4 linked regions of the Saccharomyces cerevisiae S288C genome follow. Changing the gene in region 1 together with any one later gene gives a genetic interaction. Each region holds a gene or a part of one and is shown in the gene's direction. Other genes may lie near its edges.

The links.
Region 2: mutations in UPA2 (region 1) and YRO2 together harm fitness more than expected from each alone (negative genetic interaction), as found in Saccharomyces cerevisiae (one large-scale study listed by BioGRID).
Region 3: mutations in UPA2 (region 1) and REB1 together harm fitness more than expected from each alone (negative genetic interaction), as found in Saccharomyces cerevisiae (one large-scale study listed by BioGRID).
Region 4: mutations in UPA2 (region 1) and IDP1 together harm fitness more than expected from each alone (negative genetic interaction), as found in Saccharomyces cerevisiae (one large-scale study listed by BioGRID).

What each region holds. Positions count from the first base shown.
Region 1 is NC_001145.3:895,216-898,562, reverse strand, and holds UPA2 (putative methyltransferase), read left to right. Parts: upstream 1-1,893; coding exon 1,894-2,847; downstream 2,848-3,347. Other genes in the region: Elongator subunit ELP6, read right to left, coding at 1-158; PP1-complex regulatory subunit GLC8, read left to right, coding at 960-1,649; NIP1 (translation initiation factor eIF3 core subunit c), read left to right, coding at 3,137-3,347.
Region 2 is NC_001134.8:340,305-346,229, forward strand, and holds YRO2 (Yro2p), read left to right. Parts: upstream 1-2,796; coding exon 2,797-3,831; downstream 3,832-5,925. Other genes in the region: YBR053C (regucalcin), read right to left, coding at 1-447; U4/U6-U5 snRNP complex subunit PRP6, read right to left, coding at 4,298-5,925.
Region 3 is NC_001134.8:331,953-339,511, reverse strand, and holds REB1 (DNA-binding protein REB1), read left to right. Parts: upstream 1-2,693; coding exon 2,694-5,126; downstream 5,127-7,559. Other genes in the region: RFS1 (flavodoxin-like fold family protein), read left to right, coding at 160-792; protein phosphatase regulator REG2, read left to right, coding at 1,313-2,329; 40S ribosomal protein uS17 RPS11B, read right to left, coding at 5,700-6,125, 6,637-6,681; FMP23 (Fmp23p), read right to left, coding at 7,152-7,559. UniProt on the Saccharomyces cerevisiae protein: DNA-binding protein that recognizes sites within both the enhancer and the promoter of rRNA transcription, as well as upstream of many genes transcribed by RNA polymerase II. It is essential for cell growth. May stimulate or inhibit transcription.
Region 4 is NC_001136.10:332,906-339,494, forward strand, and holds IDP1 (isocitrate dehydrogenase (NADP(+)) IDP1), read left to right. Parts: upstream 1-1,929; coding exon 1,930-3,216; downstream 3,217-6,589. Other genes in the region: BDF2 (Bdf2p), read left to right, coding at 1-35; CBS1 (Cbs1p), read right to left, coding at 216-905; COX9 (cytochrome c oxidase subunit VIIa), read right to left, coding at 1,312-1,491; PEX19 (Pex19p), read right to left, coding at 3,344-4,372; E2 SUMO-conjugating protein UBC9, read left to right, coding at 4,582-4,619, 4,730-5,165; SYO1 (Syo1p), read right to left, coding at 5,367-6,589. UniProt on the Saccharomyces cerevisiae protein: Mitochondrial IDP1 may regulate flux through the tricarboxylic acid cycle and respiration. Its probably critical function is the production of NADPH.

The sequences.
Region 1 (3,347 bases):
TGCGTTTCTACTAGTGCGTTTATCATCCATAGTGGTTGAGTACAGGATTGATGGGTGATGAAGAATAAGTTATGAGAGTTGCTGTCTTGGAAAAAGTGGGCAGGAAGCACTGATTGGTCGCTGAATAGGACCAAATCTTGTCGTTGAACACTACCCATAAATGTGTATTTAGTTATTTTTGTGGAGGTTCTGGACGGTTTTTGCCTAACTTCTACTAGCCTCAATTTAGTACTTTTATTTTTTTTTCATTTTTCATTCTGCTCATCGCCTATCAATTCATGCCTAAGAGATGCAAAGATAGCGTACTATAGATGTGAAAAGTTGGATAAACAAAGCCCATGATATAAGCCACGGCTTCAGCCTTAAAATTGGGGTTAAAGGCTAAGAACGAATTGCAAATTCTTTTGCTTCAGCAGGAATTTTCCAACAGCAAAGTATAAAAAATCTATCTAAGCCGCTTTTAAATTAAGGAGCGTATATAAAATTATATAATCACACTCGAAGGACCAATCTGTGCTCTACATACCTTACGCGCTCTAATAATATGATCTATGCTTCATCAGTCTTGTTTATTCTTAAAGTATTTTTTTTTATGTTTGGTTCTTGTTATTGAACAAAAAAATGAATTAACCCGAACACTACCAAATCAATAGCAGAAGAAAAGAAGAAAATGATAAAATAAAGGTGAGAACCATTTTAAAGCATTATTCATTATGAAATCCTCCTATCTAGTATAACTTGATTCGACACCTTGCTAATATTTCTCTGAAGCACTGTCTTTAGAGGCAAAACGGTACTATCGCATATTCTTACCCGGTTTCAAGTTTTGCCCTCACGCTTTTTTAGGGAGAAATGACTTCCACCGAAAGGATAATTTGAGAACACCACTACAACTTAAAGTCCAAGAGCTTCATCAGTACAACGAGTTCGTATCATCAAGAACGCACATCAGCAGAATAATGGGAGGTATACTTAAAAACCCGCTAGCCTTATCGCCGGAGCAGCTGGCGCAACAGGATCCAGAAACGCTTGAAGAGTTTAGAAGACAAGTTTACGAAAATACGCAGAAAAATGCCAAATTGACATCACATAAAAGGAATATACCGGGACTAGATAATACAAAAGAGGAGGGGGAGATAATTGGAACATCGAGTACCTTCCTTCCAAAGGACACACTGTCACTGAAACATGAGCAAGACATGTTGGCCAAGATGACACCAGAAGAGCGAGTTCAATGGAACCAAAGAAATTTAGCAGAAAATGAAATAACAAAAAAGCAGTTCCAAGATATTCACATAGACGAGCCCAAGACCCCCTACCAAGGTGCTGTGGACCCTCACGGGGAATACTACAGAGTAGATGATGATGAAGATGAGGATAATAGTGATAAAAAACCATGCCAGGTGGCAAACGATGACATCGACGATTTGTCCCTGGGCGAACCGGAATTTGAAATCAAAGAGAACAAACAACCGGATTTTGAGACCAACGACGAGAATGATGAAGACTCACCGGAGGCTAGACATAAGAAATTTGAAGAAATGAGAAAGAAGCATTACGACGTAAGGGCAATTTTCAACAAAAAGTCCCGTGAAGCGCTAAAGGACGAAGACGAAGACGAAGATGATAGTACGACAAAAGAACCATGAAACATGACACCTCCATAACGTTTACCTATACTAAATATATCTTATTTTTTGGATTCTTGGTACATAAATATGCACTGTTTGTTATCACGCGAAACGAACTGATTTTTTAACAAGCTTTATTTTATACATGAAAAATTTCCCATCGATGAGCTGTGATCGGCAAGTGAGAGTACTCTGTTTCACAACTACTACCGGTCCCAGGAATATATACTACTGACCACAAAGCTGTGTATCACTTAGTTTGATGAGCAGCACGAGGAAGTTCAAAAAGGTTGAGAAACCTCTATCACAAACCAGACATTATTCACTCTGTATCCCCACGACATTGGTATCGGACTGTCGCAACCTCTCTCAAATCACGCATAAGGTGTACCAAGTGGCCAAGTTTGCATCGCTGTTTAATGTTTCTGAGGTTGTCATTCTTGAGGACAATTCCCAGGTCGATGCCACCAAAAAAAAAATCTCCACTGCTAAATTAATACTGGCACTTTTACAATACTTCGTCACGCCTCCATATCTTCGCAATACTGTCTTCAACGAAAAATTCAGACCTTATTTGACCGCCGCTTCAAAATTACCAAGATTATCCACACTTCCTTTCACCAGGTACCAAAAGCAAGATCACGGTCGGTACAGAGAAGGCCTCACTATCAAGATGCAGAAACCCACCTTGGCTCGCAAAAAGATTGGTAAGGTATTCAAGCAAACCAAATATATTAATATAGGGAAAAGCAAAGCACTGGCTCTACAAAGTCAGCTGGTGCCGATAAACGCAAGGGTCACCATCGACACAATAACGAGGAAAATTGTATCTCCTCAGGAAGCTTACGGTGATTTCACCGGATTGGACTCGCAGTATGGCTACTATACTCGTATAGCGTCATCGTTCACAGACTTGTTTATGAAGGGGCCTTTAAAAGAGGGTTATACACAATCAGTATATGTTCCCTTAACCACGAGAGACACCTCTATTCCCGAGTTATCATCACTGCCTACCGCCGAAACTAATCCCCACATCTTATTGGTATTCTCAACGTGGGACACTCTTGCTCGAGCATTCAAACTGGATCAAGATCAATTCGTAGATTGTCAAGGTCCTCAAGAGTTCTTTGATGCTCAGCTACCATGCCCCGTATCCAATTCGGACGTTGCAGATGCAATCCCCATGACACTGACAACTCTTTCAACTGTATTTTAATCCCAAATTACCTTCATGCAATGGATAAGTACGTATATATTAGAGACGCAATCATTATTATTACTGTCACTTTCCTCTACTCGTTGGAAACGACCAAGCTTTTTTTTTCGCATTTTTTTCGCCGTTGAAAAATTTTTCAATGAGAAAAAGAGCTTTGAAAGGAATGAAAAATTAGCTACAGGTTCGCAGTTGCACTTGTTAGTAGAGTAGCATAGAAGGAAAAAAAGGAGAACAAGGCACATATTTGCAATCTTCACACAATAGCCTGCCAAGCCCGAGATCTACGAAAATGTCCCGTTTCTTTTCGTCTAATTACGAATACGATGTAGCCAGTTCTTCATCCGAAGAAGATCTTTTATCTTCGTCTGAAGAAGATTTGTTAAGCTCTTCCTCCTCTGAGTCTGAATTGGACCAAGAATCTGACGACTCCTTTTTCAATGAAAGTGAAAGTGAAAGTGAAGCTGATGTAGACTCTGATGATTCTGATGCAAAGCCTTATG
Region 2 (5,925 bases), on another chromosome or scaffold:
AGATCTCAACTTATATGCTCTGTCTGTACTCAATTCAGGACATTCGGAATACAAAATGACATATTCCCATTCACTTTTGCTAAAATCCAATTTTCCTATGCCAAATTTACTACCAAATAATACTTGTTTGATTTCATTTTGTGAAGCCCCATCAAGTATTGGAAATATACAGCCCACGGATTCTTTTAATTCATCTGGATTGGGAGGGTACTCAATTGACGCATTCTTGCCATAATTGGCTCTACTAATGGAAAAAAAAGAATGACTGGATTCAGGCTGTTCTATGTCTTCGACTTTATGAACCTCTCCTTTAAAAATATCAACCCACAACAGTGTACCGGTTTCCTTAACGAAGGTTATTCCTTCACTATGTATGGCACCGGGAACGTGATAATAAGGTTTTAAATCATGCAAAATAATTTCTTCAAAATCGCCAACACTACTCATTTTACGAAAAGTGTCTAGTTGCTCAATGCATATAAACTTAATCTAAGAATCTTACAGGACATCTTCATATATGTCCATATGCTTTGAATAAGCATTGGCTTCCCCTTAAAGCCCGACCGGGTAAACTTTCACCTAGCTGTTCTTGGCGACCATTAAATAATTTTGAATGCATTTCTAGGAACAAAATCAAGTGCAAGCTACAGCTTTACAATTATAGAATCTGTTGACCAAGTAAAATGGATGAGAAAATTTACGTACGATTTTGTTCCTTATCCATTCAGCTTCTCAGTTAGTCAAGAGGTAGCTGTAGCGGCTTAACGAAAAAGGTATTAAAAAGGGACATACTTTTTTTATATCTTTTCCTTTGGCGTTCACAGTTACTCTTTTAGAACTCCTTGTTGTTGTGTAATGCATTTACCCATTCCCGATATAACTACCACTTTGGAGAACTGTAGACAAAGACCGCTCTTACTGAGTATACATTTTACTTTCGTAGACCGACTTTTAACTCTATTAGGAAAAGCAATTGACTTTTGAACTTCGATGACGATTGTGCAAAATACAAATCGTTTCAAGCGGTGTTCGGAATAGCTCACAGAAATGGCGAAGATATGTTGAAAAATACATACCGATGTCATTTGTGAAAAACAAAAACACAAGCTACAATTTGTATATTTACTCAATTACATATACCAATTGAGTAATAATTAAACAAGAAGGCAAAAATAAACTAAAGCAAAATAGTATACCATCTTTGGTTCCTGGACCACATTTTCTCTCAATATTTTTGAGATGTTTTTCTTTACTTTGTTTTAAGTAGTCTTTCCATCTCCCTTCAACGGAAACAAGTGCACGCAACATGTTATTTTCCTGTTATCCGCCCTGAGCAGTTTTCTTCCCCGGGTGGCAACCATTCTCCAACATTAGACAAACTTTACAAAGAAGACACCCTACCCGGTTGCCTCCAAAGCCCTTCTTTCTTAACGCGAGTACCGCTTTGGGAGGCCTCATCTTGGTTGTGTCCTCGTATGGCAGCATCTGCCATTGAGCGAACCCTTTCCCGTTTTACGCGCATGGCCTAGACCGATCTTTAGCAGACATGCCGAGTGAATTTACCTAAGATTTCTAAGGACTCTTCTGCATGTTTCCGAAAATCACCGGAAAAACCTTCGGTTTTTTTAGACGAAAACTAGGAAGTTGCTTAGCTTTCCTTGTCGTCTTCAAATCTATATGCCATCGGAAGAGAATCAGAAGAGAAGATCACGACTTAAGAGCTTTGCTGTTAAGATAGCAAGAAAGCTTGCCAATAGGCAGTTATGTAACCTAGTTTATCTACACCTTCTTTGATTAACTTAGCTATGTAGGCCGGTGTGTTTGTTCATATCACGGCATACGTTAACACAATGTAAATCTTGCTTTGGGTTGACTGAGGGAAATAACTATAGACATCACACCAATGGCTAAGGGATATTTCGACCTCGCTATGGGTTCTAAATGAGGGAATGGAAAAAAAGGGTAAATTGAAAACAACCTACCGATTTTGGTACCACTTCCGTGATTTTCGATTCTTCAATTTCCGCATAATTTGCCTCAAATAGGAAATCTGAGCTGTTTTTTTCTTACCCTCGAGTGGTCGTTCTGCGGACTTTTCTCCGGTCCAATGCATGAATCCCTTTAAGAAGCATGAAGAAAAAAAAAAATAGCCTCTTGTAAAAGCAAAAATGCCTTTCACTATTTCTGTGTAAACGAATAATTTCGTCATCTTAGTAGTTCACTGGATAATTGTGCTTTCCAATCAGATTAGTTAGTAAAACCCCTAGAAAATTTCAATGTTAGATCGGGATGATTCCTCATCGGGTTGTTGCTTATTCATGATCCTTTCAATTACTGGAAGCTTACCGAAAAGATATATAAAGAACCGAACTTATTCGGTTTACATGTAAGACAGTGTGTTAGTTATGGTTTTCCGCCCTTTTCTTCTCTTGTTTTCTTCGATATTTGTTATTAACCTTTTCTCATTTACGATTATATAATCAAGTGTCAAGATTGTGTCAGCAAATAACAGTAATATTCCAACCCGAAAAAAACTATCTATTTATCTTTGGATACTTTAACATAGACAAGAAGTCCTAAGAACTTACCATAATTTTTTTTCTAAAAACCCTTTTTTACTCAAAACTAATAGCTTATTCTGGTTATTTTTAATCAATCTAGAATTTTTTTCTTTTAATTCCAAACAATCTAATAACGTTTAACCACTAATTCTTTAATTATTAATATTTAATTTTAAAAATCTTCTAATTTTCCTGATAACTTAAAGTGACACTATTTTTTAAAAAAAGCATCAAAATGTCTGATTATGTTGAACTATTGAAAAGAGGTGGTAACGAAGCCATCAAAATTAATCCACCAACCGGTGCTGATTTCCACATTACATCTCGTGGTTCAGACTGGCTTTTCACCGTTTTTTGTGTTAACCTACTATTCGGTGTGATTTTAGTCCCACTAATGTTTAGAAAACCAGTTAAGGACAGATTCGTATATTATACGGCCATTGCTCCAAATTTGTTCATGTCAATTGCTTATTTCACCATGGCTTCTAACTTGGGTTGGATCCCAGTCAGAGCAAAGTACAACCATGTACAAACTTCTACCCAAAAGGAGCACCCAGGTTACAGACAAATTTTTTACGCTAGATACGTTGGCTGGTTTTTGGCTTTCCCATGGCCAATTATTCAAATGTCTCTACTTGGTGGTACTCCATTATGGCAAATTGCTTTCAATGTTGGTATGACTGAAATATTTACTGTCTGCTGGTTGATTGCTGCCTGTGTCCACTCTACTTACAAATGGGGTTACTACACCATTGGTATTGGTGCTGCCATTGTTGTTTGTATTAGTTTGATGACAACTACATTCAACCTGGTCAAGGCCAGAGGTAAGGATGTCTCTAACGTTTTCATTACTTTCATGAGTGTCATCATGTTTTTGTGGCTGATTGCTTACCCAACCTGTTTTGGTATCACAGATGGTGGTAACGTTTTGCAACCAGATTCTGCTACCATTTTCTATGGTATTATTGATTTGTTGATCCTATCTATCTTGCCAGTTCTTTTCATGCCATTGGCTAACTATTTGGGGATTGAAAGATTAGGTTTAATCTTCGACGAAGAACCCGCTGAACATGTTGGTCCAGTTGCTGAAAAGAAGATGCCATCTCCAGCTTCTTTCAAGTCATCTGATTCTGACTCTAGTATCAAGGAGAAGTTAAAGCTAAAGAAGAAGCACAAGAAGGACAAGAAGAAGGCTAAGAAGGCTAAGAAGGCCAAGAAGGCCAAGAAAGCCCAAGAAGAGGAGGAGGATGTAGCCACCGACTCTGAGTAAATGCTTTGATCTGCTGATGTAGCAATGTTTTTTTCCTTCTTTTTCCTGACGTATTATTATTTGAGACCGAAACTTCGCTGGAAAAGAAACACTTCGATCCTTTTTTTATCTTCTGCATTATAACGCGCAACGATGAAGTGTTAATACATGAAAGAAGATGGGATTGGATTGTAGCGACCAAAGGCCACAAATAAATATGCACTGTTTTTAAATTTTTTTTTCATTAAAAAAATACGAATAAATTCCTTAAACACATACATCATTTTGCTTCAAATTTTTACGTTTGTAAGAAAGACCATTTGTTGTCTTAATACCTATGAAGCACTACTTATAATCTTAATTAAATCTAATTCTTTTCTTTAACTTTTTTTTTGAGCATCGCTTCTATCAATTATGTGTATACATACATACATACATATAAATATACGCGCAGGCTAAGTAGAAAACAACGCAAGATAGAATTACTTTATTTGTCATTCATCAAGCGCAATAAAATCTCTCTAGGTGTGCAGTATTGCATTTTTACGTTCTTGGAGGCGGCTATCCATTCGGGTCCGTAAGTAGGCTCACATTGATCGAACATATTGTAGAGATCAACAGTATCCTTGCCTAACCTTGCATATGTCCTAAATAGCCAAACCCATGTATCTCCGTAACGCGAGCACTTTTTCAGAGCTCTTTCTAACCATTTTAATGATGTTTCATATTGCGCTTCTGCATAAAAGGATACTCCAATCTCCAAAAGAACGCGATGATCGTTTTGTGTCCTTCTTAAAGCATCTTGAAAAATTGTTTTTTTTAACGAACTTTTGTTTCCATGCTTAAACAGCTTGATTTGCTCCACCCAAAGTAAAGCATTGCTTGGAAACTTTTGCAATGCCTGTGTGACGAGTAACTCCGCCTGATCTAAGTTACCAAGTCTTATTTCCATTTGGATTTTAGCAATGTAAAATAATACATCGTCAGGATTTTTTAACAATCCTCTATCTAAAATTGATCTTGCCCTTACTGGATTTTTTAGATCAATCTCGTCAATCTTTGATAGGGAAACCCATAATAAAGGGCAATTGGGCACTAACCTTGTACCAGACAAATAGGTTTCTCTACTCATTTCAATATTGCCCATGGAATGATAAATTTGACCCAGCTGTAAAAAAAATTTGTGGCAGATGGGAAATGATTTCAAACATCTCTCATTCAAGAATTTTATAGCCTCTTCATTCAGATCTTGGTACCGCAGAAAGTTTACGTATTTATAATATAATCTTTCCGTGCCACTGATCTTAAAATCCTCTAAAGAGGAGAAAGTTTGCTGAAAAAAATCTCGTAATTCATCAAGTTGTAGTGAACGACCTAATAACTTTATCTTGAAAAAGCGTAAATCCAAATTATGCGGGGCGAAATCTATAATCTGGTCAATCAAAACTAGTGTTTGCCTAGTATCCCCTTTTTGGGCCTTCCAATATTCGCTTACATACATCATTAACAAGCCAGGGCTTTTCTCCCTCATATTTGCTCGTATATCATCACTATTCTTGGTCTGAAATAGCAGCTCCTGGAAAAATGCTAATAACTCTTCAATTTTATGGTAGCTTTCAGTGGCCATTTTCAGTCTAGACCAAAGAACTGTATCACAAGGATCCCACTGAATAAGCTTTTTTAAGACAGCAATTTGTACCTTTGAGTGTGGCATTTTTTCTAATATCTGATCAACATTATTCAACTCAGACTCATACTCGCCACTTTCTCTTAACCATTCTAATATAGCGTAAACGATGGCTTGACAGGTTAAATTTGAATTGGGCGCATCATTTAGAGCCTCTGCACGTTTCAACCATGCTGACAAGGTCGCTTTGTACCCATTTTTAGAGAGTTCCAATAAACCCTCCTTGAGCAAACTAACTAGTTTATCTACAGGTATATCTGGGTTATTTCGTTCTTCCAAGAGTGTAGAGATAATCCAAATTTCCGGTTCTTGCGGAAGGATTTTTCTGAAGGAATTCAAAGTCATTTTAGCATTATGATAGCTTTGCAAATTAGTATATGCAGTCAAGAGATCCATACTTTGTGGAATAAATTGTGTGGCTTTCTCTA
Region 3 (7,559 bases), on another chromosome or scaffold:
CACCTAAGGGGCGGACAATCAAAAATACATAAAAGAGCGGAAAAGAAAAGAAATAAAAAGAAACCACATTTTATATCACACTTTTCTCGAGAAACATCGAACATCAAGACCTCCAGCATACTACTCACTATTATAAGCACATACTACGCCACATAGATAATGCCGAAAGTCGCTATTTTGATTTATTCAGTGGACGATATAATTGCCACATTAGCAGAAAATGAAAAAAAAGGTATAGAGATAGCTGGTGGTGAGGCTGAGATTTTCCAAGTGCCAGACGTCAGCTATAAAACTGAATATGCGACAGAAGAGGGAAAAGAGGCAGCCAAAGTCGCCAAAACTAATGCAGATTTTTCCTATAAAATCCTAACAAGAGAAACGTTGGTTGAGTACGATTACTACTTATTCGGAATACCTACTAAGTTTGGAAACTTCCCCGCGGAGTGGAAAAGCTTTTGGGACTCGAATACTGGTGGGCTTTGGGCAAAGGGTTCTCTCCATGGCAAAATTGCCGGTTTGTTTGTTTCAGGCGCAATAAGCGGCAAGGGTGATACAGAAATGTGTATCATGAACGCAATGAGTACTCTGGTCCATCATGGTGTCATTTATGTCCCATTGGGGTATAAGAACGCATACAAGGAATTGACCGACGTTGAAGATGTGAACGGGTCTTGCGCCTGGGGCGCAGGATGTGTTTCTGGAATCGACGGTGGCAGACCTCCCAGTTTATCCGAGCTAAGAGTTCACCAACTTCAAGGGAAGGCCTTTTACGACCGTATCAAAGATTTGTAAAACCGTATATATCTTTACATAAGTACGATATGGTATAACTGTAACATTGAAGGACTGAAGGACTGAAGGACTGAAGGACTATAGTCAAGGGCCAATGGGGAAGGTCCCTTCCAGGCCATTTGCCCGATAGTTTGTCCTTCTCTTGCTTTTCCGACGGCCCGATTGCATGTGGCGGGGCAGCACTGGATAAAAAAACGTGGGGGGAGTGATTAAATTTATACGCTTATTGTGTCAACACGGAAACCTTATAGTTATCATTACTAACATCGCAACAAGCTGCTTTTTTACTCGTTTTTAGCCACACCATACCCCCTTTAATTAACTAATAATGCATAAAATAGTTATTGCTTCTTGAGTTGCAGCTTCTTCCTGGACGTACTGTTATATATGGCATGTCTTCGCATGTCCGTCAAATTTAGCGTTGTCTCGAAACTTAGGCTGTCGTTCTTGCTGTCTGTCTTCTGATAAAATAATATATTGGAATAAGAAAAAAAAAATAGGAACAAGAAAGTGTGTGAGAATGACTTTGAGTAATTGCGACTCTTTGGATAACTTATTCCAGGACCCTCCAGAGGAAGAAGAAAGTAGTAAATTCGTTGAGGCGGTCAGAACTTTGATGAATAGAAACGATATGGGATATCCTCCCGCCGCTGCAAATGGTACGTATTGCTTAAAAAAAATCAAGTCTTTGAATGCCAAACAGTGGAAAATAAACAAGAAAAGAATGTGCATGTTGCCAGCAGTAAAGAAGAAAAATTTCGACTTTCACGAGCAAAGAAGTTTAATCTTGAATTTAAATTTATGGAAATTCATCAAGTTTATCAATTGTAGTAGTAAAAACAATTACAATAAAAATAATAAGCATGTGAGAAGCTCGAACAACACTGTAAAAAATGAAAATGTTTTACCGTTACAAAAACACAAGAAAGTGGACAATGATCAAAGATTGGAGAACCTTTTTTGGAGAAGCTGGTTTAAGGCACGCAAAAGGAGAGATATAATGGGCAAGCCACGAGAGAGGCATATCAAATTTAACGATAACGTTGAACAGTGTATTATAACTGATGAGCATTTCATACAAAGGCTTCCTTCTACACGGTTGAATTCGACTGATGAACAGCGCCCTTGTTCAAAGTCTGAACTAGATCCCTGTATTGGCAACGCAGCAAGTAAGCGAAGTTTCTATGATTATAACAGCGTTTACGTCGCGAGTGACGCAATTATTACGACTGCCGCTGCCACTGCCATTATCAGTAGTAATAGTGGAGACTATCAGCGTGGGCACGATGTTCGCGATGTTCCAAGAAATGTTTTGTTACAGGCAGGAGAAACAGATTTCAGTAGTGTGCTTCGGGTTGACTCCGATCTCAAGTTATCCAACATAAGTCATCATTCCCCCGTAAAACCTTCGTCAACTTCAAGTCATTCGACCTTCATTTTCGAGTCGGAAACTGACACTGATACTGATACTGACGCTGAAACAGAAAATGACATTGACGCTTACATAGACACCAGTATACCCAACCTGCTCCTATAAATTTTACGTAAACTTTCAATACATTGAAATTGTGTCTCATTTTCTTCTAGAAGCTCCTCGGAAAAATTGATCACGTGATATATAGCAACAACTTTGTTACCCGTCTTTCAAATTGGGCCCATGCCGGGTGGCAAACCAAAGGCGGCCAAGGGACCTACCCTCACAAAGGACAACGACAAACAAATGGCAGCTTTCTTGACCACACAAGATAAAACAACAAAACTCAGGCTGTTATTACCCTGCTGTGGACCCAACCTAAAGTAAATAAATAAACATCATCACAAGCAAGGTTATCTACACACTATCGTTATTAGTTTGAACTCACGTGTTGCTGCTGAATTAGAATATTTATAGCTCAATCAATATGCCTTCAGGTCATAACGATAAAAACGCAAATCAAGAGTCTGTGGAAGAGGCTGTTTTGAAATATGTCGGTGTAGGTCTAGATCACCAGAACCATGACCCTCAATTGCATACGAAGGATCTGGAAAACAAACACTCGAAAAAGCAGAATATTGTGGAAAGTAGTAGTGATGTTGATGTTAATAACAATGATGACAGTAATAGAAACGAGGATAATAATGATGATTCTGAAAATATTAGCGCATTGAATGCGAACGAATCATCTTCGAATGTGGATCATGCCAACTCCAATGAACAACATAACGCAGTTATGGATTGGTATTTAAGGCAAACAGCGCATAATCAACAAGACGACGAAGATGACGAAAACAATAATAACACTGACAACGGCAATGACAGTAATAATCACTTTTCTCAATCTGACATAGTCGTGGATGACGACGACGACAAGAATAAGAAAGATGCGGGTGTTGGTGTGGACGATGATCATCAATCTATGGCGATGGCCGCCGTCGCTGCTGCTTACACTCTATCGAAAAATAACAATAATAATAACAGTATTGCGAACGATAGCAATTCGCGTAAAAGACAGCATGATAACGGAAATAATCATGAGAATTCACAGAAAAAGCGGAAAAACAATAATGATGACGATGACAGACAAATTGGAAACGTAGATCCGGAATTAACCACCTTGGGTGATGCAGATGACAACGATACTAATAATGATGTGATTGATCGTGATCAACTGGTCCATAAGGCCATTATCGACGCTGATTCGATTACCCAACATCCTGATTTCCAGCAATACTTGAATACTGCGGCTGATACTGACGATAACGAAAAATTAAAGCATATTAAAGATCATTTGATGCGTACACACGGTTTGAATCATCAGAACAAGAATCACAATGATGATACAGATGATTTATCAAATAGTACAAAGCAATACTCTGAACTGCAGAAAGACTCTATGCTGGATAGTTCCCTCAACAAATCTAGAAATTATATGGAAGTCTTGCCCAAAGTTATCTCTCAAGATACTCAACCACACCAACAAAAATCTCCCTCTCATGATAATGAAGCTGGCAGCGTGGACAATTCAGAAATATCTCAACTACTTCAATCAGCCGCCACAAAGGCATCATCTTTGGTATCTTTATCCTCATCCTCAGCAACGCCATCGACTTCAAGGTCTAACAATAGCAAAGCTTTTGATAAAGCCGAAGACGCCGCTTTAGAAAGATTTATTAACGAGTATGAGGCCATTGAACGTTTGACTAGACAACAAGTTTGTGAAAGGATATGGAGTTCCGACAGGCCAAAGGACAACTTTTGGAATAATATTTACAAAGTCTTACCCTATAGATCTAGCTCCTCTATCTACAAACACATGAGAAGAAAATATCACATTTTTGAACAACGTGGTAAATGGACCGCGGAGGAGGAACAAGAGCTAGCTAAATTATGTGCAGAAAAAGAAGGTCAATGGGCAGAAATAGGTAAAACTTTAGGCAGAATGCCAGAAGATTGTAGGGATCGTTGGAGAAACTACGTAAAATGTGGTACCAATAGAGCATCAAATAGATGGTCCGTTGAAGAAGAAGAGCTTCTGAAAAAGGTTATCAGCGATATGTTGGAAGAAGCCCAGCAACAACAGTCTCAATTGCATCCAAACTTATTGGAAGAAGAACAGCATTTACTGCAAGATGACCAGAATGATCATCGCAATAACGATGAAGACGATGATGATACAGCTTCTGCAGCAGCAGCTGCTGCTGCTGCTATTCAAGAACAACAACAACTTCTTCAACAAAAGCAGCAAGATGATGACGATGCTATTGCCGCTGCTGCCGCTGCTGCTTCTTCATCCCTGGGAGACAACAAAGACGAAGACAAACCCCACGATTCATTAGGTATACAGCTCGATGATAATTCCCAGAACTCAATGGTACCTGCTCCATCAGCAACAAGCACACATTCTAAAAGTTTGTCAAATACAATCAGACGTCACAATAATAAACTGAGGAAATCTTTGATGGGTAACGGTAAGTTAGATTTCAAAGACATCATTAACTGGACCATTGTCAGTGAGCGTATGGGCGGTACGAGATCACGTATTCAATGTCGTTATAAATGGAATAAATTGGTCAAAAGGGAAGCAATTGCCAAAATTCAGACTGTAAAAGATGATGATATGTTATGGATTTTTGAAAAATTAAGAGATTTAGGTATAACAGAAGATTCTCAAGTAGATTGGGATGAACTTGCAGCTTTGAAGCCTGGCATGAAATTAAATGGGTTAGAGTTGAAATTGTGCTATGAAAGAATGAAGAAAAAGGTCAAAGGCTATAAGCAAAAATCAATCAATGAAATCAGTAAAGAGCTAGTTGATTATTTTAGCTCCAATATTTCAATGAAAACAGAAAATTAATTCCGGAAAATATAATTGGTGAAAGCGAAAAACTCAATAATGTTTGATAGTACGCGTTATTTTTCATCATTTATCTTTTTTTTAGCCCTGTAACAATTTGGCAAATCTTGTCTTCACTTATTGCCGGATATTGACTTTCTTTTTCTTCCTTGACGCCAACTGTTTTTATTTCCAACTTACACATGGAGCCGTTGTATTTATATTATTTTACCTATATGTATAATGAATTTTATTCTTTCTCTTACAAGTTAGTTTGATTTCTTCTGCCTACATTCTTGGAAGGACTGGCCAAGCGCGGCGTGTACGAAAGGAAATAAACAATAAGCAGGTGGAACTCATCAGTCGTTTGCCGAGATGTGATTATTAAAGATGTCATTCATATATTCAAGTTAAAAAATATATAGAATTGATAAGCCATATATAGAAACAATTACTAAAGAGAGAAAAAAACCAAGTCTGGTAAAAGAAAAAGAAAAAGAGCCTAATATACGACACTTTGGTTCAAATAATTCACCAGAAGTCCTACGTTTTATCCTCCACTTATTATTATATCATCTTGTTAATTTTATTTCTTTAAAATTTAGCAAATTGCTTGTTGGCCTTACCGGCAGCAGCAGAGACCTTGACGACGTTGAATCTAACAGTCTTGGAGATTGGTCTACATTGACCAACGGTAACAATGTCACCAACTTGGACACGGAAAGCTGGGGAGACGTGGACTGGGACGTTCTTGTGTCTCTTTTCGTATCTGTTGTACTTTGGAATGTAATGCAAGTAAGCTCTTCTGATGACAATGGTACGGTGCATCTTGGTGGAGACGACGGTACCGGTCAAGATCTTACCACGGATGGAAACTAAACCAGTGAATGGACATTTCTTATCAATGTAAGAACCTTCAATAGCGGTCTTTGGGGTCTTGAATCCCAAACCGGCATTCTTATACCATCTCTTGGTTCTCTTGGAAGTCTTGACCTTTGGATTGTTGAAGATGTGAGGTTGCTGTATGAAAAATAGCATGTTAGTAAACCGGTTGATCTAAAATATAATCATGAACTTCATTCCTACTATTTTTAGGCGAAAAGGAAATCGTTAACTGTGTCGTGGCGGTTGGAAAATTGTTCCGTATGATGGAGATCCTCCTTACTTGGCATTAGTCGGGTGAAATAGTCATTGAGCACAGTAAAAGTTATACTTCATATTAAGGTGTTTTGGCCTCATGGTTATTTATGTATTCTCAACATTTCTCCGTGGTTACATTTTCATTTTCAGATCAAAAGTTCTCTTCTTCTTGAAATAATTTATATTTTACTCGTACTGTGTAACGAAATCTCAATCATTCGAGGTCCTGCTTTTCACCAGTAAACTTTTACTTGATGGTACTGCGCTTGCTAACGTTTATGTTGATAAATCTGGAAATTCCCATTAAAATTATAATATTACCTCGAGCAATTTTCCTTTCCGTACTGAATATTTCATTGATTACCTCATTCAGGTTATAATTCTTTCATACCTTTTGGAAAGCTCTTTCAGATTGAACAGTTAATTCAGTGGACATCTTTTTCCCTGGCTTGATACGTTTCCTCTAAGTCTTCAGCAAATGCTACTATGTAAATTGTACTAGCTATGTTATTATCACTATTTTACCTATTGATTATAGATTTTCAACAGACGCAGCAGAGAAGGGAAACGTAAAGCTATTGGACTTGCCCGCTGAAAGGTTGGCGTGGAACCAGGCGGACTCTAGCGAGAACACTTCCTCATTTCACAAAGACACTTCGCATCTTTTTCATAGACGCAATATGCCGAGTGTGGAATAAAAACAAAGCGGGAAACATGTTTGGGTTTAGAATTGTATGGGTGCAGCAAGGAAATATTTCTTCCAGAAATTCTTGTGTATATCGATAATAAGGCATTCCCAGATACTGAGAGAAACGTAAAACCTTTATATATTATACGCTATTTACTTGTACATTACTAATAAAAAACTAACTGAATGAGTATAATTCAAATTTTTTATAGCTTTCTTCATTCTTTCTGCATTTTGTCAAATACTTCTTTGGCTTGTAGCATGACATCAAATATGAAGGAGTGTCCTCCATTTAGCAGCAGTGTTAGTCTGACATCTTTCACAAAATCTAAATAGCGGTCAACGACTATCCTGTCTCCGATGGATTTGAATCTCTCTTCACAACCATCAGGTGCTGAATGATTTGTGTATCTCGGAGTAACTTCTAGTTCAATGAATTTTTCCAATTGAAATACCAACTCGTCTGGATCTCCTTCAAAATCCGCATAGGTCTTGTTTAATTTCTTAATCAAAAACTCATTCAAAAATACTTGTAGTTCCTTATAATGCTTTTCAATGTAGTTAGAATCTTCCGGTAGTTGTTTATATTCATGAATAGGGATGTTACTTTTCACATTTGGACTGGA
Region 4 (6,589 bases), on another chromosome or scaffold:
ACAGTAGTGATAGTAGCGACAGTGACAGTGATTAACAATCGAAATGGGCTTCATGCCCTAATTAAGGAAAAAAAGAAAAGAAAAAAAAAATTGGGAAGAATGGGGATAAAAAAGATTTGTAACATTATAAACAAAAATAAGAAATAATTGTTTTTACGTACTTATTGTAAATAAAACAAAGGGATAACGGACAAAAAGGCATCGTTTCTTTTGTACTATGATTTACGCAAATGGTAATTAATTAGAGGTATGCATATAGTTTTTATAATTGATTCAATGAATTTTTTGTTATCGTTTTTAATTTCGAGTAATTTCAGGTAACCAATAAAGGATAAGATCACTTTCCAATCGTTCAAGTTCTGAAAATCATTAGAGCTGGAAGTTAATCCCATTTCCTTCGGCAAATTGGCAGGTATTCGCAAATGAGCTAATTGGTTAATTTTCAACGAATTCTTGATAAGCCAGCTTATCGAGTCCATGTTCACTACTCGAGCTCGATCTAAGTTATGAATGTAATTGAAGTTTTTGTTCATTATATTAAACTGATTGAAATTCGTAAATGTTATTGTAAGCATCTTATTAATTTCCAAGTGAATGAGCTGTTCACCCAATTTTTGTAAAGTTTCGTTTCTTGTTTCAAATGTATTTCCTGTGCTCAAGTCTCCAGTCATTGGTACTCGTACCAACATATTCCTGCTTGTGGTATATAGCAGTTTAGTTAGTTCTTTAGTCGGTATGCGTTCCTTTCCTTTATATCCGTCAGGATTAACTTCAAGGACTTCACACAGTTTTTCTATCTTACTAATATTCTTTTTCGTCACCGTGTTTATAGTTCTGATGGGAATATACCTGCGAATCCCAGATATTCGAGCAACAGTAGTTGCAAACACTTTTGTCCTCAACATGTCGAGATTCATTATCTGATTTATTCTTTTATCCTGCTATAAAGAAACCATAGAAGAATAGAAGCAAAGGGGTAGTACGTGGCACCTCCTAAAGGTAATATTGTACTATTCCTAGTTCACTCAAGGTCTGCCTGTCTTATTCTCCACATACATTTTCTATAACTCTTTTTTTAAGTTTGTTTTTATTTTAGTTTGACACTACATAAATATGTAAAACTATTTTTTCAAATTATACAAATAGAAAATTATGATAAAGGTCAAAAAGAAAGAAAAGAATGACTTGTCTGTTTTCCTTCCCTACAAACTCTTGCAAAAGTAATCAATCGAGGCCAGCACAGAAAAAAAATAAAAGATAAATAAATAGGAATAAGAATATAATGCGAAAAACAATAGTGGTCAGGTTCGGTCAGTTCTCTTGCTTTTTCCTCTCAGCTAGCTCTGCGTAGAACTTCTCTCTCTTGTTAATCTTATCCATGTGGAATCCCCACCACCAGTAAGAGGCCATGACACCCCCGAGGGAGAACCCGAGGACGATGTCCATGATGACTCTTCTCTTGATCGTACCAGTAATTGGAGCAATAGTCATGTCTGTGTAAGTCGCTTGTAGTTAGTAGTTTGCAAATATCTTGCTTGCTCTAATTCTCGGTCCTAATTTTCCCTGAAGATAAGAGTCTCTTTCATCGATTCTTTTAATACCACAGGAACAAAGCGGGCATCGTGGTAGCGGGCCAATCAGGTTGCAGTAAATGAAGAGATATAGAGGAGGACTCTGCTAAAGACCATAACAAGGGTCTGCAATGATCTTGGACTAAATAAAGGTGTCTTACAATCCAAAAGAGCTTGAATCATTCCTTTTATGAGCTAAATAGCACCGTTTGCACCTTCTGATAACGCTTTACGGGTCACGCGCGGATTTTGACTCACATAATTCCACTTGCCCATATAAAGAGGGACTCATATGATCTTATGAAATCTTCCTTCAAGCAATTGTGAGACAACAGACGCACAAGGAAGATCGCCCAGCATGAGTATGTTATCTAGAAGATTATTTTCCACCTCTCGCCTTGCTGCTTTCAGTAAGATTAAGGTCAAACAACCCGTTGTCGAGTTGGACGGTGATGAAATGACCCGTATCATTTGGGATAAGATCAAGAAGAAATTGATTCTACCCTACTTGGACGTAGATTTGAAGTACTACGACTTATCTGTCGAATCTCGTGACGCCACCTCCGACAAGATTACTCAGGATGCTGCTGAGGCGATCAAGAAGTATGGTGTTGGTATCAAATGTGCCACCATCACTCCTGATGAAGCTCGTGTGAAGGAATTCAACCTGCACAAGATGTGGAAATCTCCTAATGGTACCATCAGAAACATTCTCGGCGGTACAGTGTTCAGAGAGCCCATTGTGATTCCTAGAATTCCTAGACTGGTCCCACGTTGGGAAAAACCAATCATTATTGGAAGACACGCCCACGGTGATCAATATAAAGCTACGGACACACTGATCCCAGGCCCAGGATCTTTGGAACTGGTCTACAAGCCATCCGACCCTACGACTGCTCAACCACAAACTTTGAAAGTGTATGACTACAAGGGCAGTGGTGTGGCCATGGCCATGTACAATACTGACGAATCCATCGAAGGGTTTGCTCATTCGTCTTTCAAGCTGGCCATTGACAAAAAGCTAAATCTTTTCTTGTCAACCAAGAACACTATTTTGAAGAAATATGACGGTCGGTTCAAAGACATTTTCCAAGAAGTTTATGAAGCTCAATATAAATCCAAATTCGAACAACTAGGGATCCACTATGAACACCGTTTAATTGATGATATGGTCGCTCAAATGATAAAATCTAAAGGTGGCTTTATCATGGCGCTAAAGAACTATGACGGTGATGTCCAATCTGACATCGTCGCTCAAGGATTTGGCTCCTTAGGTTTGATGACTTCTATCTTAGTTACACCAGACGGTAAAACTTTCGAAAGTGAAGCTGCTCATGGTACCGTGACAAGACATTATAGAAAGTACCAAAAGGGTGAAGAAACTTCTACAAACTCCATTGCATCCATTTTCGCGTGGTCGAGAGGTCTATTGAAGAGAGGTGAATTGGACAATACTCCTGCTTTGTGTAAATTTGCCAATATTTTGGAATCCGCCACTTTGAACACAGTTCAGCAAGACGGTATCATGACGAAGGACTTGGCTTTGGCTTGCGGTAACAACGAAAGATCTGCTTATGTTACCACAGAAGAATTTTTGGATGCCGTTGAAAAAAGACTACAAAAAGAAATCAAGTCGATCGAGTAATCGAATTTACGTAGCCCAATCTACCACTTTTTTTTTTCATTTTTTAAAGTGTTATACTTAGTTATGCTCTAGGATAATGAACTACTTTTTTTTTTTTTTTTTTACTGTTATCATAAATATATATACCTTATTGTTGTTTGCAACCGTCGGTTAATTCCTTATCAAGGTTCCCCAAGTTCGGATCATTACCATCAATTTCCAACATTTTCATGAGTTCTTCTTCTTCATTACCGTGTTTTAGGGGGCTGTTCGCACTTCTAATAGGGCTATCACCAAGCTGTTCTAATTCGTCCAAAAGTTCAGTAACACGATCTTTATGCTTTAGCTCGTCATAATCTTTCAATTCATAAATATTTACAATTTCGTCTACGATATTAAATTGCCTCTTGTAGGTGCCTATCTTTTCCTTATGCTCTTCATTTTCACCGTTTTCTTGAAACCAAACACCGAACTCACTACGCATTTCTTTCATAGGCTCATATAATACTTCTTTTGACGTCATTTGATCAAGTATTTTTGTTATTGCGTCGTCCATCTCCCCATCTTTTAGATCAAATTGATTTTCTGCACTTTCTTTTCCACCAGATGCTACCATTTGATCTAATAATTGTGACAATATATCATCAATATTATTATTTTGGCCACTGCGTTGAGATTCCTTGGTTTCTTCGGCTAGGGATGTATCAACTTTATTACCATTTTCCTTTAACCTGTCTAGCGTATTGGAAACAATGTTTTTAAATCCCGGATTGCTACCATTCACGGTCCCTTTATCAGTGCTGTTACTTTTCAAACTACTACATCCTTGCTCCATCTGTTGATGAGGTACTTTAGCTGCCTCTTCTAGAGCACTAATCAGTTTATTAAAATCTTCTGTCTTCACATTATTCTCGTTACCGTTATTTTTCATCAAATTTGCGAACTCATTTTGCAAATCTACCATCATTTCTTTCAATTCTGGGTCCTCTTCAGATTCATTAGCTACCTGTACGCCATCACTGTCCTTACTTTCGGCATTCTTCTCTTTGTTTTCACTATCGTTGTACACAGAACCCTTCGCTTGCACATCATCGGGCTCTGCTTCATCCAGTTTAGTGGGATCTTCATCTAAAAGGTCATCCAAATCATCAAAATTATCGTACTCGTTTTCATTCATTACTTCGTGTTGTATGTTTGGCATTTCTTCTTTCCGTCAATACTTCGGTTCCCACAATTTGTAATTCTTTCTTCACTTTATATCTCTCAGAAACCGCGTTTAACATCTGGAAATTAAAAATTATTCCTGTCTCCATAACAAACATTTAAAAAAAGAAGAGAAATTTAGCATAGGATAAGCACACACTGGCACCATTTTTTGGAAGCAATATGAGTAGTTTGTGTCTACAGCGTCTTCAGGAAGAAAGGTAAGTAGTAGTTTTCCTCCTTTTATGCTTACATTCTGTAGGCATACACAATTTCATCCAGCGGTATACTAACAAATCGATGAACTTAACTTGTTTTACTTGAATAACAGAAAAAAATGGAGAAAGGATCATCCATTTGGATTTTATGCCAAACCAGTTAAGAAAGCTGATGGGTCCATGGATTTACAGAAATGGGAAGCTGGTATCCCAGGCAAAGAAGGTACAAACTGGGCGGGTGGTGTGTACCCAATTACAGTCGAATATCCAAATGAATATCCTTCAAAACCTCCAAAGGTTAAATTTCCAGCCGGATTTTATCATCCAAACGTGTATCCAAGTGGCACAATATGTTTAAGTATTTTAAATGAAGATCAAGATTGGAGACCCGCCATCACGTTAAAACAAATTGTTCTTGGGGTTCAGGATCTTTTAGACTCTCCAAATCCAAATTCCCCTGCTCAAGAGCCTGCATGGAGATCATTTTCAAGAAATAAGGCGGAATATGACAAGAAAGTTTTGCTTCAAGCTAAACAGTACTCTAAATAGAGGGAATCCATCTTTCCCATTCTTCCTCCTTTTGTACTTTATTTAACTAATGTCGTTGTGTAACAAAAATAGAGCAAAATAACATTATTTACAAATTCTCAAAAATAATTTTTTGCTCTTTGTTTCTTATGCTAAGTAAATAGAAAGATATTTTTTGTACCATTTTCTATAAGTATGGCAACTATATACACTTTAATAAATCTATTGGTTAGTAGAATTTTCATTCATTTTGTAGTGAATGAAACTATCCAACGTAGTAAAGCAATCATGGCATCTTTCTTTTAGTTCGGGATTTTTGTTTTTATCAACCATTTTGAATTGCTGCCTCAAATTTGGTACAACTTGGTCTTTTAGAATAGATAAAAATCCACCCCTTACAAATATTGGTTCATTATAGTCGTAAGAGGCATCCCCGTAAATTTGGAAAAGCGAATTTGTCATTTCTATCAAAATTTCAGGGCGAACATTCAACTGTGTTAAAGTTTGTATGAAGAACTGCCCAATCTCCTTATTTGCATCAATTTGTCCCTGAATCATAGCATATGTGCTTAGTACATTAATACATTTTTGTTGTAACTCAAGGTCATTATTATTTTGGAACTCTTCAATAATTCCCCTAGCGAATCCTGAATTGTTCAGCATTTGGACATTGATCAATGCTCGATTCTCACTTTCAAACGCTCCATCAGGAAAGATGAGTTTCAGAAGCGCCCAAATACAGCCCATTCTTCCTATTTTAATACTCAAATCATCTTGGCTGTCCAACTGTGTAACATAACTCCATAAGGTGGTTAACAACTCTCCAGAGAGCTCTGTTAGAGATAGAGACACAAAGAGCCAGATCAGATTGTTCCATCCGATCAATATTCGCGAGGTGAAGGTATCTTTCAAAATCATGAAAACGTGAGGTAAGAAATTTGTTAAGGTATTGATTAGCTCCTCTGGAATTGCTACTTCCTGTGATTCTGGTGATTCATATTTGGATGCAACTATCTCAATGATTGCGGTGATAAGATCAATTGCTATTTCAATGCTTTGCAATTTTATCATGGATTCGTTACGTTTCGCATTGTAATCCTTGATCTTAGTTATAACCTTACTGCTTTCATCTTTACTAGTAGCAGGTCCAATTTCTACAGGGTTATTAATGTCATTAACTAACTGTACTGGATCAATGTTATTAATGGAATGACATACAGAGTGGATCATTTTGTTACATTGATCATAAGTTATTTTCATGTCAAGGAATTGGCAATGGATACCTTCAATTAGAACTTTTGTTAATTCATTAGCTTGTGGATGTAAAGCCGGAGATAGCCCATTTAAGAACTGTGATAGAAGTTCATTGTTGGAAACATGATCAATAAATTCAAATGATTCGGAACTCAAATCATAAATGAGATCAAGAGTGGTATTGAACAGAT